2 linked regions of the Solanum lycopersicum genome follow. The protein of the gene in region 1 binds, or shares a complex with, the protein of each later gene. Links are inferred from orthologs where the notes say so. Each region holds a gene or a part of one and is shown on either strand. Other genes may lie near its edges.

The links.
Region 2: transcription initiation factor TFIID subunit 11 (region 1) and transcription initiation factor TFIID subunit 10 share a complex: the UniProt entries of both Arabidopsis thaliana proteins name them as parts of the TFIID complex. The link is inferred for Solanum lycopersicum from reciprocal best matches to the Arabidopsis thaliana genes TAF11 and TAFII15.

What each region holds. Positions count from the first base shown.
Region 1 is NC_090804.1:5,055,699-5,058,643, reverse strand, and holds the end of transcription initiation factor TFIID subunit 11, read left to right. Parts: intron 1-124; coding exon 125-224; intron 225-987; coding exon 988-1,115; 3' UTR 1,116-1,148; exon of another isoform or gene 1,149-1,477; intron 1,478-1,759; 3' UTR 1,760-2,338; downstream 2,339-2,945. UniProt on the Arabidopsis thaliana protein: TAFs are components of the transcription factor IID (TFIID) complex that is essential for mediating regulation of RNA polymerase transcription.
Region 2 is NC_090811.1:67,585,575-67,590,161, reverse strand, and holds the start of transcription initiation factor TFIID subunit 10, read left to right. Parts: upstream 1-1,771; 5' UTR 1,772-2,143; coding exon 2,144-2,242; intron 2,243-2,321; coding exon 2,322-2,386; intron 2,387-3,501; coding exon 3,502-3,564; intron 3,565-4,587. Other genes in the region: protein GLUTAMINE DUMPER 2, read left to right, coding at 293-751. UniProt on the Arabidopsis thaliana protein: TAFs are components of the transcription factor IID (TFIID) complex that is essential for mediating regulation of RNA polymerase transcription.

The sequences.
Region 1 (2,945 bases):
TCTTTGTGAATATGTGAGGATCTTGTGCAAGCCTTAGGGCCATTGAGATATTTGCTTTTCCAGTCTGATCATTTATTGTGCATAATTTATTTTTTGTCGTGACTCTTGTGTGTTGTCGATGCAGTTGCTGACCAACATCACAGGAAGTGCAAAGATATCTATTCCTATGACAATTGTGGTGTCTGGGATAGCAAAAATGTTTGTCGGTGAGCTTATTGAAACAGGTAAATAGACAGATCCACTTGTTATAGAGATAATTGATGAAGCAAACGTTTATCCTTTATTTGGGAATAGCAAGGATGACTTGTCGTTGGAATGATCTTATTTTCGTTCTATTCTTAGACACTAGTGCACAGCTCCAAAATATTTGCCAAACTATAATCAGTTTCTGACCAATTTGCAACAATGAGGCATTAAAAGCCCAAGACCAGTAATATTATCCGTTACTGAGCATGTTGGTTAACATTCATTTGGAACACTTTACCCCTTTAAAGTAACAAAAGAGTGGCTCTAAAATGTCTTCTATGTACTCACACATCGTACCTATGCTAAGTAAGCACCCGCCAATGTGTCTGAAATTGCATTTGACGTGTCTGACTGGTTAAGGATGTTTGGCACTATAACTAGGGAAAACATAGGACTTTTTAGCAAGAACAATAAAATGACTCTCCTGCCTCAGTGTTGGCCCAGGCACTGCCCTCCTTTGTTCCTAGTGGTCTCTGTTACCCTCTACCTGTAAAAGCTCACTGTCACATTGTTTCTCTGCTTTTCCTTTCCCTTCTTCAAAAGATCGATAGAATCAACTGAATATTTCGTAAACCTAGGTGAACACGTTTAACCAATTTCCAGTCTAATTATGCAGTAAAGAGTTGCCAATCTTTAGTGTTTCAAGGTGGAAGTGTCCTCAGTTAAATAAAGTTGAAGGGCTATACTGCATTGATTTTCTCCAAGTAATGGTGCTCACTCATCTTACAATACCTTTTGCAGCTAAAATGGTGATGGCAGAGAGAAAAGATACTGGCCCAATCAGGCCATGCCACATAAGAGAAGCATATAGAAGGTTAAAACTTGAAGGCAAGATTCCAAAAAAATCAGTGCCAAGGCTTTTCCGGTAGTGAACGTGGAAGCAACCTGTAGTTATATTTCAGGTTCATTGTCTTCCTATTGCTTACAAGTCCTCTAATGTGTCTATGTTGAATTGTCGCAAATCCTTAATTATCTTGCACTTCCAGGTCAAGTAAACATTGCTAGTCACAAAGTTGTCGAGTTAGGACACTTTTGCATTGCCTATTATATATGGGGTTAATCTGTTAATTAAATTACTTAATTAGAGGGAAGGAGTTTAACATTTGTGAAAATATTTGTACTGCCCGTAACCTGGAACTGAAAATGATGGAAGGAGAACACTAAGATTGCAACATCTTGGCTAAAATAACAGCATCATTGTATTTTTGGGCAAATCATCATTGTGACCATGGTCGAGTTTGTTGACCATGTTGTGAATTTCTCAATGCACTTGGATGAAAGAGAAAATTGGAGTGACGGGACAACAATGCTTCTTCACCATGTTGTGTGGAGGAGGCATCACAACGGTCCTAAACTTTATCAAGTAGAAAAGAAACCAAAAGATAATTCAGATCAGTTTGATTGTTCTTCTCTTTAATTCTAACTGTGGACGTTGTCGTTCATTTTCAAAATCATTTGTTCACGCTCTTAAGTTTTTACAATGTTTCTCATCCCTTGTTCTCCATTCTCTCAGATTTGTAGTAGTCAGCCACTTTCCTCGCAGAAAGGCGTAAGGATGAACTTGTAAATCTTGGACGAAAAGATTCATGAGGTGTACCTTTACAAGGTGAGGCTTTAGCTTCTCTTTGAAATGTTGGGGTTCCATTAAAGAAGTAAATTTCGAGGGGCATCAGCCATGGTGGGAAGAGAGCTCTCACCTTGACGAAAGGATTGGCAGGACGAAGATCCTGAACAAATTGTTTCTTAACTGTGTAGTTTTTGGTGTTGGTACATTGAGTTTCAGCTGTTGCCATCATTTTTCCCTTTTTCCAGAAGGGCATACTTAGGATACATGAAATTATGAAAATAGTAGAAAATGTTTGGAAAAAACAGATCGAGTTAAGTGGCATTCCAAGTTTATTGTCTCTTTTCCACCTACTTAATTCCCCCGACCCGTTCCGGATCATCCCAAACCCCGTTACCCCGAACCCCCACTTTCCAACCCCCTTTCGTTTTGTTAGATATCATATAAATAGTATTGGAATAATGTTTTCCTGCTTAACTTACCAAACATAAGAAAATAAATAAGAAATCTACTTGATTGCTGAGAAAACATTTTTTAGAAAATCATTTTCGGCTAAAAATATTTTCCTTTCCTACCAAACACACTTGGATATTGAAAAAATCAATCATTTGTTAAGTGTATACATTAAAAGGATAATAGTATAAAATGACAAACTAATAACGTAAAATAAATATAGTAGCTACCGTTTGATTTATTTGTATTCCATAGCAAACGGTTTGTCAGTCGCCTCTCTCCCTCATATTCTCGCTCGCCACTCTACCTCTATTGTTCGCTCCCAGTCGCTCGCCGCTCTCGCTTTATACAATAGAGCGAAAATTGTATAAAGCGAGAGAAAATTGTATATATACATACAAATACATATATCTTCATCCTATAAACTTATAATTATACAATGCAAATATTTTTCTGCCCAATTTTCTATTGTCTTATTCTCTTTCTTGTTTTATACATACACAAATTATACAATTGATTTGTTTAATTTTTTGCATTTGTATAAGGATACTTTTGTATAATGTTCATTTAGACATATACTATAGCACAAACTTATACACATACATAAATTGAAGTATGTTTGTATAATGTATATATATTGAATCATACATCCAAACTAAGGACGAATATAAGTATACATGTT
Region 2 (4,587 bases), on another chromosome or scaffold:
ATAATAATTTTGGTAAATTTTTTTCTTCTCATTAAATTTTATGATTCCCTATTGATCACTTCACCCTTCTTTTTAACTTACTTTTTCTCTTTTCACTATTCATCCACTAAATTTGTTTCATATAAATACACACATATACCATCTTTGCATTTCTCAAGCCAAGCTAAGTTTTATTTTTCTTATTTTCTTTGTTCTAAAAGTTTAATATTCGTTTCGCTCGCAAAAAATTTAATAAATTTTTCTATCGAAAAAATAAAATATTAGACATTTCATCTTCGAAAATAAAATAAAAATGCGAACAGTAAGTACCTTTACTACTGCTTCTCCATCAGTCTCTCCATCGGCGATTGTTCAAAAATCGCCATGGCATTCGCCGGCGCCGTATCTATTCGCCGGCGTAGCGTCCATGCTAGTGTTAATAACTTTTGCTTTAGTAATCCTAGCTTGTTCTTACTGGAGACGATCCGGCTATCCGAGAGAAAACGGCGATGTAGAATCCGGCGACGGCGAGAAATCGACCGGTGATGTTTTCAAGGCGTCGCCGGTTTTTGAGGAGAAAATAGTTGTGATAATGGCTGGAGATTTGAATCCAACTTTTTTGGCTACGCCTATTTCGAGTAGAGGTAATTCGTTTGGTGCTGGTGATAAAATTGAGAAGAAATTGGAAAAGGAAACTGAAGAATTTGATGATGAGAAGGCGAAAGATGAAGCTATGGATCAAGCTCATGAAGAATCTCAAATCGGCCATTGATGAAGCTACTGAGCTTTGAAAAAAAAAAAACAGAGCAATTTTCTCTATTTTTTTTTTTGAGTTCTTCCATTTTTGGTTTAATTTTTCAATTTTGAGATTCGGGAAATTGTACTCAATTTTGGTTGAGATAACAAAGAGTTAGAAAAAATTTTCGTTTTCGAGTAATATGTTTTCACGGAAATTGTTACTTCGATTTGATACGTGTTTTATTAGCTAACGATAATCATAAGAGTCATTTTGCTAAAAAATAAATAGATCGTTTTTAAATTTTTCAATGAAAAAAGTAAAATTGATGATATATTTTTAATATAATGAATGAAAAGAGTAGAATCAATTATATATCGATTTAGAAAATGAATTATTTGAAGAATCTCGAATGTATGTGCATATGTGACGTTTGCGATTTTATATCTATTGTGATTTACTAATTATATTTGATAATTTATAGTAATTAAATATGATTTAAAAATCATGCTTATTCATGCAATTTATAGGTCGTATCTATCGAATATGATATATAGTTAATCTATAAATTGAGTTACTATTAATATGTAATTTATAAATTATATTTATCTAATATAACTTTCAAATGATGCAAATCAAATGTGATATTAGTCATATTTGTGAAACATGATTTATAATCGTGCTTACCAAATCATTCAAGTACCAATTAAGTTACTCAATTGTATTGTAATTAAATTAGTTATCAAATAATATCCAAATTGTTTACTCAATAATAATATAATTCATTTTAATCTTCTATGATAGAGAAGAATAAAATGGCTAACATAAGTGATTATGAGTGTGTGTATATATATATATATATATACTTCAATGTAAATTTTAATTGCGTTTGGTTTGATAGAGAATAAAATAATTTAATTATATTTTTATTTTATAATTTTTTTAAATGTTATGAACTATCAAATTTAAAAAATAAAATAAAATATAATTTTTTTTTTTACGAAATATTATCGTTAGCTAGGTAAATATATATGCCCCTCTTCGCGAACGAATTTCACATAACAAAAATACAATTCTCCTCTATCTTAGGCCTTTTCTCATTTTTTTTCTTTTTTGCACAATTGTGGAGAAACAATTTTGAATTTTAAAAAATAATCAAAATTATAATATTTCTATATCCTAGAAGGAAAATAATATTACTTTTTCAATATGTGAGTTTAAAAATAATTTTTATATATATTTTTAAATATTTTAAATTATCGTAACCATAGTAATTTTACTTACCTATTACTAGAATATTTTTCTTCAGTTTCTTCTTCCGATTTTTTTCTCAAAGTAAAAAGGCACAAATCTTCCCCAATTTTCCTCCGGCGAAATTGAAACTCCGACCACCGCCGATCCTCCGTTGACTCTGTTTCGACGGTGAAGATGAACCAAAGTCAAGGTCAACAAACAAGTGAAGGAAGACACGAGGATGATGCTGTTCTAGCCGATTTCCTTGCTTCCTTGATGGACTATACTCCCACTGTGAGCTACTTTTTGCCCTTTTTCTTACTGAAGAGATCAATTTTATGTTTTATTTATGTAGGTTAACGCTTTTGATCAGATTCCTGATGAATTGGTGGAGCATTACTTGGGTAAAAGTGGATTTCAATGTCCTGATGTTCGATTGTATGTATTTTCTTCCCATTCTTATGTTGATGTTTCTGCAATTTAGCCTGCTTAGATTAGTTATAGAAAAATTGTTTGGATTGCTCATAAGGAAGATATGATTTTCGTGTGTTTATCTAGAACTATTTTCACTAGGTTTATCCTCTGTCTTGAGCTAACCGTAGTCTTTAAACTCGAATACGATGAACGCGCTCCTCAACCTACGTTTATTTTGCTTGGCGTAGCGAAAGCTCTACACTTTTGCCAAGTGAGCTAAGCCCTGGGGGTTCAAAGGGAGATATTATGTTACTGCAGCAAACAAATAAATTGGGCAAAGGTGCCCATATAATGATGTAAAATCCAGCTTGGGAGGATGTCCTCCCAAGATATTTCCTTCAACGAAGTAATAGAAAACTTAGCTGAATTATGTGCTAGTTTTGTTTAGACTTCTCGGAATATGAACAAAGTCTACATGATCAAGCAAGCTCTTAGCTTCCAAATGTCTTCACAAGTCACCTCTATCTCCCATGAGGTAGTTAACTTTTTCCTGAATCATAATCAATAACACTCTTTGCTTCCAATAGGATTCTCACATCCTTCCAATTGTTCCTGATTGTACGTTCAAGAGCCACTCTTAAAGCAAGTGCTTCAACAGTCATAGCTTTTCCCGCAAACTGGATTGGGGAAACATGGGCATGAATCAGTTTTCCAAGGCTTTCCAGAGCTGCAACACCAATATTTGCCAGTCCAGTATCCACCTGTAAACCTGCATCAGTAAACAATAATATAACATCTTGGTGGGTTGTTGGTGGAGCCGCAAGGCAATACCCATTTTTATGAAAATTAGATGAGCAATTAGCTGAATATCTTTATACTCGTAGCAATCAAACAGTGACTAAGCGGCAGTATTCTCTAGTTCCGTTTTTGTTTTGATCGTTTTCTATTTATCTGGTTTAGCAGTAAATTCAAGTAAAATTTATATATCTGTGAATTGGATTGGTATTTACCTTTTTACAAGTTGTAAATTTTAATATTGTAGCATTTGATGTTTTGTTTGACAGTGATGGCTGGTTTATCTTATGTTATCAGTTTTTAATACTGTGTTGTTGTATTGAGTTTTTCCTTTGGATATGCAGAATAAGGTTGGTGGCAGTTGCTACTCAGAAGTTTATTGCAGATGTGGCTACTGATGCTCTCCAGTATGTTTCTTAATTATTTTATTTTTCTTGAATTCTGTTTCCTCCTCCATCTTATGTTAAGTATGCTGCTAATTCTTCGGCATATTGCTCATCGATTGTCCCCTACTCTTGAGGCTTCAATGCAATTGTTGCCTGTCTAGGTGTTTGTCATTGTATGATCCTTCCAACTTTTAAGTGTTCAAGTTGTTCTCCTCCCCCAAACCTTAAAAAAACTCTTTTTGGTTCGTCTCTAATGAATTAGAAACATTAAGTTGGTAATTTTAGAATCCAAGCCTGTTATATTTTTAAAGACTGCCGACCCTAACTTGACTACACTACCAAAAATACAACACCTGAAATTCTCTATTGTTAGCGCAATAATACTACTACCTCAGGAGATTATTGTGTCTGTGACACTCCAAAACCTTAGAAAAGAGACAAAGAAACAGAAAAATACAATATAAAGAAACTAAGATATGACTTGAGTAGACATGTAGAAAGACCTTGTTTCAGAATATATGATTACAAATAACAAAGCATCCAACTTTCTCTGAACTTCCTTTCTTAATGTTTCCAATGGATTGTTATTTTCCTAATGCTTCTACTGGATTGTGGTAGATCTTCTCAACTGTGACAAATCAGTTGTGTTTTGTTTCGTTATCGACTCAAGATTTTGTGAATGCCTCACTTTACTCACTATTTTGCCTTCACTAGTCGTAATGAAAGTAAAACTCATGAAATGCTGTGAGTCTTTTGAGGATAGATTATGGCTTTATCATCGGAAGAAAGAATAAGAGTTTATGAATGGTCTCTTATGTATCCTTCATGTTTAGAAAGAAATGGATATTTATGAAACGGGCCATTCCAATAGAGAAACAACATAATGCCAGTGGTTGAAAGCAGGCAGGTCGATGAAAGTTAGGATATATCAGGAGCAAGGGGTATCTCCATTGGTATTCTGTGTAGAGACTAGAAATATGGTTGAGACAACAAGATGGCAGTGGTTGAAGGAAGGAAAGTTGATGACTTGTGGGTAGACCAGGA